Linked DNA regions of Xenopus tropicalis. Each later gene encodes a partner of the first gene's protein in a complex. Links are inferred from orthologs where the notes say so. Each region holds a gene or a part of one and is shown on either strand. Other genes may lie near its edges.

Region 1 (3,512 bases):
TGTGGCGAGTTCAAGCTTCGCTGTTTGATCATTTTGCCTCATGTTTTTTTCCCTATCCACTCCCACCAGAATGGCCTGGTCTAGGAAAGGACACTTTTGATTTCACTTTAGGATGTGCCCTTACATTAATGTGCAATATTTAGCACCACAACATATGTAGCTTGTAGTAAATACACAGTTCACCACATTAAAGGAGAACTAACTTTTATCTAAAGGAGGAAGGGAGAAACATTGTATATTATATTTTGTATGAGCCAAAGACAGCCACAGCCCTTTAGCAGGGAAGATCTGTGCCCCCAGTAGCCCCCATCTTCTTTTCTGCTGATTCCCAGCACATGCTCTGTGCTGCTGTCACTTACCTGAGCTTAGGGACCCACTCACACTATACTGTATATATAGAATATAAACTGCGGCTGAACTATAAAGGAAGCAGACCTCAAGGGGGACATGACCACAGGGTTTGCTTTGTCTGTAGCCTAGAGATCCCACCCCCAGCCACTCATTTAAATATTTATGCAGGACCACAAGAGCATGCCGGGCCCCCGCCCCCCCACATTTTTTTTCTTTTGAGAAGGGGGGCCACTGCTGAATATAAGTATAACAATATAAGACTGATTAGTATACAATAAAAATTATTAGTATGTCATCTCAGAAACTAGTGCAATTACCATCAGCTTATATTACAGACAAACCTCATTTTCTGCTTGATAATTTAGCTGCTCAGAGCACACTGAGCATGTGCAGTGTCACTGACACTTCTAACAAAATCAAAGATGTAGGAGCTTCTGTGCATAACTTTAAAGGGATCATTATAGAGATGCTGAACCTTTAGGCTGGTGCAATAAGTTCAATACATATAATTTGGCATTTCTAGCTATATTCATTTTTATGGTTTAGTTCTACTTTAAAGGTAAACTAAAGCTTAACATAGAAGTAGGGTAAAAATGTTGTACATTATGTTTGGGGGTTTGTACCAGCCCAAGGCAACCCCAGCCCTTTAGCAGGGAAGATCTGTGTCTCATAAAATGCCATTTTTTTTTCTGCTGATACACTGAACATGTAACTTCCTTATAATTTAATAATCAGCCCTGTAGCACCAGGTTATATGACAGACAAACCTTATAATTTGCAACAACCGCTAACTGGAAAAGTTCAATAGGGAGGTTTTGGACAGCCAGACCTAGATAATGGAATGGATTGCATAAGCAATGCAAAAACGTCAAACTGAGCCAGTCTGCTCTGGGGGTATATTTGGTATTAACATGAATCTCAGACATAATAATAAACAAGTGATTCCCACTGAGGTTTAGTGGCAACAGGACTTGCAACAGCTGTACAGCACTTCATTCTTACCCTGTACCCTCAAAGACTGTTTCACTGAACAATGACTTACCATTCTGTAAAGCAGCAACCAAAGCACACATGCAAGTATCAAGAAGGTTTCCATCGTAATCGAGACATATGAGATCACAGTACAGAACCCATGCTAGCTAGAGAGGGGAAAGAACAAAAATAAGTCAAAGGGGAACTATACATTTAATATTAAAGTATAACCAATAGCTCATTTATAGTCCACTAGGTCACCTTTCAAAAAATTAAACTAAATTGGCATATACATATCAGTATATAATGCCCTTTATAAATTTTACCTTACATGTAAACCCTACATTTTCCTACCATGTATATAAGTTGGACACAACTCCCCCACCCACACCGCATCATTTGTATTACATATATCCCTCTGTTTGCCAGCACCATCAATTTTCCTAAAACAAATAGCAGCTTTCACCCAGCTGCAATTTTCCCTCTGGCAAATCATCAGTGACATTTATATCTGTAAACAGCATGTGTGCTGCAAAGTTCATAAAATCAAAAATGCAGGCTTACACAGGCAGAACTTAAAAAACAATTCTGCGTGTTTCTCCAGCAGAATGTACAGCTAGAGCAGAGTTTCTATGGAAACTGGTGAGTGCAGGGCCCCCGCTGGCCACATCTCCTGCCACGCACCCTAACCCCCCCCCCCCCCCCGCCGCAGGGGCCCCTAACGTCCTCCCCTGAGCATGCCTAAGTGAAATGCGTCAGTGGTTTTTTCCCGGTGTCCCGGCTGCCCAGTCCAACCCTGATTAAGATTAGGACTGTACCAAATCCACAATTTCTGGATTTCGACAAATACCGCATTCTCCAAACAAGAATCAGCTGAATACCAAACCAAATCCATCTAATTTGCCTATGCGTATTTAAGAAAAATAACAACAGTGCATTAATTGTGACTTTCTCTAAGTGTTTCGGAACAGCTGAACACCTAGAATTTGGCTGAATCCAAATCCTGCATCCTGATTTGGGGCATCCATTCCCATACAGATATGTAATAATGCAATGGCCGTTTGCCCCTGCAAGCATCACCAAAATACATTCAATAACTATTAAAAACCAAACGCCTGTTTGTATCACTTGATCCATACCTTGCCATGTGCGATGCACAAGTCTTCTTTCAGGAGCATCTGGGAACTGAACACATGTTAAAGATTACATGGACAATTGTTTCATCTCTTGTTTTTCCTGTTTCAGTATTGCTTGTATTAATAATGAAAACCAGCTACAACAGGCAATATACACTCAATACTCTTGTTTGGTGGGTCACCAAATGAACAAATCTTTGGCCAATTGGCCACCCAAGTGGTAAATAAAAAGAGGGGTGATCTAGCCATGTGGCCCTTGCAGAGCCTTTTTCCACAGGTTTTCTCTGGTGCCTGTGATTCATGTCGGAGACTTTCCTTATTGATATATCTACCATAAGTCACGAATAAGTCAGGCTACAACCTGACGTGGGAAAAGTTTATATCTTCAGTAAGACTAATTATGACACATCCTATAATACTGATACTGACAAATTTCAATTATACAATTGAGTTAGTAAAATAAGAACCCCCAACAAAAGCAATTGTGGGCTCTTATACCCCTATACCCTCATTGTTTAGGTTTAGATCCATAGGTCACACTGGGCTGGGGGCAGCCCAATTATCTGACAGAGTACAATTTAAATCTGTACCCCACCCAGTTGGGGCACTGTGCTGCCCTTAGCCCAGTATGACTGAGGATGACAGTCTGCACAGAAGATGCCAAAGTGGTTATTGCAGGGCTGGGGGTTACTAATGGTTTTTTATATTATTATTTAGTGACACAGGAACATGATCATCACTTTGTTCACAAACAACCATCATCTTACTTGTCAATAACATCTGCTATGAACTGACTGGCAACTTGAGCCTCTTCCCCTGGGGGACCAGGCCGAAACTGAGAGGAGCACAAGGGTGTAAGATCCACATTTGGAACTGGAAATGGAAAAAAGAGATATCTCTGTCAGCACAAAAGAAAAATTCCCTTAAAAGATAACTATAAGCTGCAGAATAACTGTGCTTAATACAGGACAATACTTATACTGGTATAGCTCTATGACATCTCTGTAAAGGCTGCCACAAACTTCCCTATCACCCCCAGTCCCTTCCATTATG
Region 2 (4,190 bases), on another chromosome or scaffold:
CGAGCTGGCGCACACGTAGTCGCGCATGGGAATGCCGGCGTCGATCACGGCCAGGGTGGCGGCATTCACACATGTGCAGTAGTTGCCCCCGTCTGCTTGCAGGATCTGGGCAGGGAGAGTCATGTGATCATATCCAGCGCAGCACAACACGGGAGCCAGTATGGCAGCACCAAGATACCACATACATGCACCACTGAGATATCCCCACATAGTGACTCCCAGGAACTACTCTTGGTGGCCAGGGGGATGCTGGGAATTTTAGTACAGCCCAAGGGCCACAGATTGGGGACCACTGACTAAAGGATTTGGGGGGTTCACCTTTAAGTTAACTTTTAGTACGTTATAGAATGGCCAATTCTAAGCAACTTTTCAATTGGTCTTCATTATTTATATTTTTTATAGTTTTTTATCTATTTCCCTTCTTCTTCTGACTCTTTGCAGCTTTCAAATGGGGGTCACTGACCCCGGCAGCCAAACCCTATTGCTCTGTGAGGCTCCAGTTTTATAGTTATTGTTACTTTTTATTCCTTATCTTTCTATTCGGCCCCTCCCCTATTCATATACCAGTCTCTCATTCAAACCACTCCCTGGTCGATAAGGTAATTTGGATCCTAGCAACCAGATAGCTGCTGAACAAGTGAAACAACTAAAAAACTACAAATATAAAAATGAAGACCAATTGCAAATTGCCTCAGAATATCACTCTCATACTAACAGTTTAACTCAAAGGTGAACCTCCCCTTTAAGGTCAATTTAAAGTGAAACAGCCCCTATTTAAGCCCCGCACTATTGTTACAACTTGCCGATGCCCCACCCACTGGCTGATGCCCCTCCCACTCACCTGCACGTAGATATCTATCTGTGAGCGCGGGTACAACTGGGTGAGGATGGCGGCCTCGAACGTCTGCTTTAGGTGCAGGGTCATCTCGCTGGACTTGCGGTCCCCGTGGGGGCGGCGCTTCCTCTCGCCGGTGCTGAAGGTCGCCATACTGTACTGGCAGTTCACCACTGAGCGGTCGTGGAGCATTTTACTGCGAGAGCCGCGGATCTGTGGGCACAGCGTTACGGGCACCGTTACACATGGAACTGGGGTATGGGGGCGGGACTAGCAGTGGGCACAGGCAGCCGTGTGTAGGCAGGGTAAGTATCCCAGCAGCAACCACTTACCCACCCCCATACTGTGCCAACCCCTTACCCACCCACCCCCATACTGTGCCAACCCCTTACCCACCCCCATACTGTGCCAACCCCTTACCCACCCCCATACTGTGCCACCCCTTACCCACCCCCATACTGTGCCAACCCCCCCCATTATCCCACCCCCTACTACTGTGCCACCCCCTTACACCCCCCCCATACTTGCCAACCCCTTACCCACCCCCATACTTGCCTACCCCTTACCCACCCCCATACTTTGCCTACCCCTTACCCACCCCCATACTGTGCCAACCCCTTACCCACCCCCATACTTTGCCTACCCCTTACCCACCCCCATACTGTGCCAACCCCTTACCCACCCCCATACTGTGCCAACCCCTTACCCACCCCATACTGTGCCAACCCCTTACCCACCCCCATACTGTGCCACCCCCTTACCCACCCCCATACCCACCCACCCCCATACTGTGCCACCCCCTTACCCACCCCCCATACTGTGCCAACCCCTTACCCACCCCCATACTTTGCCTACCCCTTACCCACCCCCATACTTTGCCTACCCCTTACCCACCCCCATACTTTGCCTACCCCTTACCCACCCCCATACTGTGCCAACCCCTTACCCACCCCCATACTGTGCCTACCCCTTACCCACCCCCATACTGTGCCAACCCCTTACCCACCCCCATACTGTGCCAACCCCTTACCCACCCCCATACTGTACCAACCCCTACCCACCCCATACTGTACCAACCCCTTACCCACCCCCATACTGTGCCAACCCCTTACCCACCCACCCCCATACTGTGCCAACCCCTTACCCACCCCCACTGTGCCACCCACTTACCCACCCCCATACTGTGCCAACCCCTTACCCACCCCCATACTGTGCCACCCACTTACCCACCCCCATACTGTGCCAACCCCTTACCCACCCCCATACTGTGCCAACCCCTTACCCACCCCCATACTGTGCCAACCCCTTACCCACCCCCATACTGTGCCACCCCCTTACCCACCCCCATACTGTGCCAACCCCTTACCCACCCCCATACTGTGCCACCCACTTACCCACCCCCATACTGTGCCAACCCCTTACCCACCCCCATACTGTGCCAACCCCTTACCCACCCCCATACTGTGCCAACCCCTTACCCACCCCCATACTGTGCCAACCCCTTACCCACCCCCATACTGTGCCACCCACTTACCCACCCCCATACTGTGCCACCCACTTACCCACCCCCATACTGTGCCACCCACTTACCCACCCCCATACCCACCCACCCCCATACTGTGCCAACCCCTTACCCACCCCCATACTGTGCCAACCCCTTACCCACCCCCATACTGTGCCACCCACTTACCCACCCCCATACTGTGCCACCCACTTACCCACCCAAGTAACCCAGCGGTCTCTCCCCTATAGTAATGCCTCTGAGCCATTCAGCCCGTCCGTGTGGCCCCAGCACTCACCTCATGGGGCCCATATACCACAGCCAGGGCCTTGGTGTTCCCCTGCTCGATATAAGCGGAGCCATCGGCCTGAGCGAACACTCCCATCCTGGCCCGTATCTTGCGCAGCTCCCCGGCTTTCCTGCCATCCACCCGGTAGCCCTGGTCCGACAGCAGCTCCAGCCCCGCCATCCCGCACCACGTTCTCACGGTATAAACTACAACTCCCAGAAACCACCGCGCCGCCACTTTCCGTTCCTCTTTCCGGAAGTGTCTGGGTGCCCGCCTCCACGTCACATAAAGGGGCGGTGCCAAAGTGATAGTTACTTCGTGTAGTAGAATTGCGCTTTTACCTCAGTTCGTTACAAGTGGCGCTAATTCCTATTGCTGGTCCCTATGGCGCTATTGTGCGGCCCAGTTGGGCTCTGAGCCATGTTTCCTATTTCACACTGTTATTTTCCCATGTTACTGAGCAGAAACTGTATATATATATATATTATGTTCCCCTGTCACTGTGCAGCCTACTCACCTATGGGTTTTCCCCATAGTAACCAGGAAAGGAACATTCCACTGAGCATTTACATTTTCCCTTTCACTGTAGATTCATAGTACTGACACTGTTACACAGCAAATAATTCCCTCTGCCATTTAACCTTTTATTCTTCAACCAACAAATGTATTTGTAGCTGTAATATTGGCGTGTAGGCGCCATCTCAGTGCCTTGTGCCTGAGTCTGAGCTTTCAGCCAGCGCTACACATTAGAACTGCTTTCAGCTAACCTATTGTTTCCCCTACTCCCATGTAACTGGGGGAGTCCCAAGCCGGACTTGGATTTCTTACTATTGAGTGCTATTCTGATACCTACTGGGAGCTGCTATCTTGCTCCCTTCCCATTGTTCTGCTGATCGGCTGCTGGGGGTGAGGGGGGGGGATATCACTCCAACTTGCAGCGCAGCAGTAAAGTGTGCCTGAGTCTGAGCTTTCAGCCAGCGCTACACATTAGAACTGCTTCCAGCTAACCTATTGTTTCTCCTACTCCCATGTAACTGGAGGAGTCCCAAGCCGGACTTGGATTTCTTACTATTGAGTGTTATTCTGATACCTACTGGGAGCTGCTATCTTGCTCCCTTCCCATTGTTCTGCTGATCGGCTGCTGGGGGGGAGGGGGGGATATCACTCCAACTTGCAGCGCAGCAGTAAAGTGTGCCTGAGTCTGAGCTTTCAGCCAGCGCTACCCATTAGAACTGCTTTCAGCTAACCTATTGTTTCTCCTACTCCCATGTAACTGGAGGAGTCCCAAGCCGGACTTGGATTTCTTACTATTGAGTGCTATTCTGATACCTACTGGGAGCTGCTATCTTGCTCCCTTCCCATTGTTCTGCTGATCGGCTGCTGGGGGTGAGGGGGGGGGATATCACTCCAACTTGCAGCGCAGCAGTAAAGTGAAACTGAAGTTTATTAGGGCTCAGGTCACATGGCTGTGGCACCCTGGGAAATGAAGAATATGGCTAGCCCCATGGGAAAAACAGATTACAATGCAGGATTCAGCGGGAGACGCTCTATTAACTGATGGGTTT
Region 3 (4,201 bases), on another chromosome or scaffold:
TAGCCTTAAGGTGGCCATACACCTTACAATTACAATCTTTCCTGCAACCATTTGTCTCAGGAAAGATCGTTCCCACCCTCCACTGGCATTCAGAGTTGAATTGTCAGATATGGAGGTAGAAACAATAAGGATTCTACCTCCACCTGACAATTAAGCCCTAAACACAGATTTTGCTCGTATAAAAGTCTTCTGTCCCGCCCGTTCCACGAGGCGACATATCCGAAGCTTTTGTGATGTTCACCTCGTCGATCCACCATACACACAGTGAATATCGTATGAAACTAGGTGCATCGGTGCATGTATGTCAGCTTTAGTCACATAAAACTACAGTAGCCAGATTACTGCCTGTGTGATATATAAACGAACCTGAATTATGAGTTTTTACCTTTCTTTCTTCTTTAAAGCAATCTCAGCAGGGGCTCAAACACAGCCAATCATAATCACAGATGGCCGTAAGTTCCACTGTGGAAATGGAAAAATTGCCTTTTCAGGCAAAGGCAAAATGACAAGCACCATGGGGGTACTAGAAAAGAACAAGTTTGTGATTTGCTGCTTGTGCAACTTAAGTGAGGCAATGCATTCAATCTACCCATTTTATGCAGTGATCTTATGGTCATGTCTTTAGTTAATGGAGGCTTCTCTGGTTATTTATGCAGTGATTTTACTGGCATGTCTGGATTTTTTTTTTTGGTTTTAGTTTTAATTTTATGATCATGGTATTTTGGGTGTGGTAAAATGTGGGTGCAGTCATACCATGGCAGTTAACTGTGTCCCTCTTTGTAGTTTTCAAATGGCGGGAGGAGCATGGCAGTTAATTGTGTCCCTCTTTCGAGTTTTCAAATGGTGATAGGTATAAAAAGGTGGTGAGTAAAACTGTACACAAGGTGGATAAAGTGATAGGTCTTGATCAATGCAGCTTGGTAGAACAGAGTTGCAGAGAGTTTGGTGTGAATTCTAAGCCACCATGATATACCTGCTTGATATCTAGGTCAATGTGCTTACACCCTTTAGTTTCTTTTTTCCGAATTAATCTATTTTTGTGTGACTGGAGAACTGCATTAAAAATTATACTGCATTAAAAATTATTAACTGGTCAAAATGCTATAAACCACCTAAACATGGTACTGGATTGCTACTTTGTAAGGATAGCTCACATTTTTTGTTGAAACTCATTTCTAATCTTTATTCTAAAATTGAATATGGTGCAGAGCCTAGGAGCCCAAAACTACAAGCCCCTATAGCTATAATACACAAGATTTTCTTTACCAACATTGATCAGTGATGTAATTTGTATAATTTACTGACTAAAACCTCCTCTGTTGTAAAATATGTGGATATTAGAAGCCACCTCAGAGTTCAATGACCTGTATTAAACCACTTGGCCTTTGGTTCTGTGCCTGTATATGGTCATGGCACTCTAAGGAGACTTCCAATACCCTTATATTTTTTAATATGGTGTATATTCCCTATATTTTGGTTTATTTAAATGCGTACACACAGGTATCATAATCACAGTGCTGTACATGACCGTTTATAGCTCTAGAGTAAGAGTATGGTCAGTCTGTCCCCAATTCAATTTGGTGTCCAATATTTTAAAGGACCTTTTCCTAAATAAATATATATGTATTTGTACAAATGAATTGTAATTTTAAGCAGTGTTATAATATGCAGGAATTAAACATGTTAAATGTTTTTTTTTAAGTAATTTCTAAATAAAATTCCAAGAGCAGTTTGTCTGCCTTTGCTATTATTTGCTACCAGACTATAGAAATAATTAAATAAAAAATGTCTCTCCTCACCACCACCTCAGTTCCTACAAATTTGCCTTGTACTATTCTTTTATTTTACTTTGCAGCTGATAATGGCAGAACAAGCAAGGCATTGTGAGATTTGGAGTAGTTAAAGGAACAGTAACACCAAAAAATGAAAGTGTATAAAAGTAATTACAATATAATGTACTGTTGCCCTATATTGCTACAACTGGTGTGTTTGCCTCAGAAAGACTACTATAGTTTATATAAGTTAGCTGCTGTGTAGCTATGGGGGCAGCCATTCAAAGGAGAAAAGGCACAGGTTACTTAACAGATAACAGATAAACCCCCATTATATGGGGCTTATCTACTAGTTATCGGCTACGTAACCTGTGCCTTTTCTCCTTTTTTCCAGCTTGAATGGCTGCCCCCGTGGCTACACAGCAGCTTATTTATATTGTAGCTTTTCTGTAGCAAAAACACCAGTTTTTTGCAGAGCAACAGCACATTATATTTTAATTACTTTAAAACACTTTCATTTTTTGATGTTACTGTTCCTTTAAGAGTAGCTGGGGAAACCAGGAGAGAGTTGCAATAAACAGGCTGAAACTTTTTTCTCAGTAACAATTGTATCAATTTTAAAATCATGAACATTTTTTATTATCCTATATTGGAAAATTGCTTAATTTACAAGTTTGCAGTTCAGCAACCACCTACTTTAGACAAATACAACACATACATTCCCCATTGCTGTCCTCTGCATTATGACAACATGGAAGAGCTGTTCCATTAAATGAGAATAACGGCCACTGGATTTACAATTCAATTTCCATCCAATGATTTAGCCGCAAAACATTTTACGCTTCCCTTCAATATGTATCCCTTGATATCCTCGTATTCCACATAAGATTTGAGGAATTATAGGCGCGCCAAAACTAACCCTGAAGAAACGTAGCGGATCCATCGGGACGGCTCAGCAAACTCTGCTCACACCCGTATTCCCGCAATACAGAACCTACAGCCTCCATCAGAACCTTCTTTCCACATGTGCAAACACTTCCGGGGTCCTTGGGGTCTGGCAACCGCCACACTTGCCTGTATAATTATACACAACAATGCCAAAGCCTTTTTTCCCAGGGAATAATAGGAAATACGCAATTCTCGCAATTTCTCACTTCAGAGGTTATTTTTGACAAGCTGTTGAATAGGGGTCCTAAGAGAAATGTAGGCAGTGGGATAGCATTCCGAAGCAAGATGGCGGCGCTGAGGGCACTTCTAAGGGTCCGGACTGTGGCAGGAGGGTGGAGAGGCGCCGGTGGGAGACAGGTGAGAGGAGTACAGGGGTCGCGTTGGTGTGAGTGAAACAGACGATAATCAGATGGAAGGGGAGTTTAAATGTTTTATTTCTAAATGCGAGACCCTGGTCTTGTATACTGAGAAGTATACACATCTTGTACCATAAGGTACATCGCATCTAAAATACTAGTATGCCTGTCTGACGTATATACATGGGAACTACAAGAACTGTTTGAATTGGGAGATGTGTTTTAAAAGTTATATGCTATAATAAACGTGGGTTATAGTTACAGTTCAGAATTATGTAAAAATATGTGATATTGCTGACTAGATTTGTAAGGAGTCAAATTTACATTTGAATTTACAGCTTATATAGTATATACATTTATATGCTTTAGCCTTAAATAACAGGTTGGTTGATTGTCTGTCCATAAACCAGCTGGTGACAACATTGTTTCAGCTATATAAATAGGAAGAATATGTTTGTATACATACTCCCAAAATGCACACACATATTTCCAGGTATATATTTGTATAGTGCTACTTGTATACACAGCCCTGTACATATCTATATATAAGTATTTGTATAAAATTGCCTGTGCTTTTGATCAGCAGTTCTGGGACTGGAATATTATAGGTTGGAGTATTATAGAAGCAACATTCTAGTAATATTCCTAGTTCTGTACTGTACCACAGTTATTGCTTACACTGTATTGGATTCTCTGTGTTTTTGCATACGGGAAAGAATATATATTTTCAAGGTGTTCTAACTTTTTTTTCATGGTGCAGTGTAAAATGTTTTTAGAAAACATAATTATTTGCAGATACTTGTAGCCTAAATTGTGCTTTTAGTTATGTGATTTAACGGGCAAGACCAAGGTGTTACGCATTAAAGATGTGTGATGCTCTGGTGGGAAAAAAAAATATGGAACCCCCTCCCCCAGCACTATACCATACATTTTGGAGCTGGATTATAATACAATGATAATGTCATGGACAGAAATCAGAGGAGCACTTTGGCCTGTAGGGGAACATAACCTCTTGAAGAGCCCCGTGGTCTGGAGCAAAACTAGATGGTTTTAATTATTACTTATTCTTGCATATTAAATAACTATTACTACAGTTTAATTAGGATATGCCTAGTATTTGTCTGA

Evidence for each region. Proteins that work in one complex are often made in the same cells at the same time.
Region 2: exosc8 (region 1) and exosc4 share a complex: the UniProt entries of both Homo sapiens proteins name them as parts of the RNA exosome core complex. The link is inferred for Xenopus tropicalis from reciprocal best matches to the Homo sapiens genes EXOSC8 and EXOSC4.
Region 3: exosc8 (region 1) and exosc5 share a complex: the UniProt entries of both Homo sapiens proteins name them as parts of the RNA exosome core complex. The link is inferred for Xenopus tropicalis from reciprocal best matches to the Homo sapiens genes EXOSC8 and EXOSC5.

What each region holds. Positions count from the first base shown.
Region 1 is NC_030678.2:151,678,664-151,682,175, forward strand, and holds part of exosc8 (exosome complex component RRP43), read right to left. Parts: intron 3,333-3,512; coding exon 3,227-3,332; intron 2,509-3,226; coding exon 2,463-2,508; intron 1,491-2,462; coding exon 1,394-1,490; intron 1-1,393. UniProt on the Homo sapiens protein: Non-catalytic component of the RNA exosome complex which has 3'->5' exoribonuclease activity and participates in a multitude of cellular RNA processing and degradation events.
Region 2 is NC_030682.2:151,308,983-151,313,172, forward strand, and holds the start of exosc4 (exosome complex component RRP41), read right to left. Parts: upstream 2,810-4,190; 5' UTR 2,806-2,809; coding exon 2,635-2,805; intron 1,049-2,634; coding exon 842-1,048; intron 106-841; coding exon 1-105. UniProt on the Homo sapiens protein: Non-catalytic component of the RNA exosome complex which has 3'->5' exoribonuclease activity and participates in a multitude of cellular RNA processing and degradation events.
Region 3 is NC_030684.2:79,502,199-79,506,399, forward strand, and holds the start of exosc5 (exosome complex component RRP46), read right to left. Parts: upstream 2,810-4,201; 5' UTR 2,780-2,809; coding exon 2,692-2,779; intron 1-2,691. Other genes in the region: bckdha (2-oxoisovalerate dehydrogenase subunit alpha, mitochondrial), read left to right, coding at 3,006-3,077. UniProt on the Homo sapiens protein: Non-catalytic component of the RNA exosome complex which has 3'->5' exoribonuclease activity and participates in a multitude of cellular RNA processing and degradation events.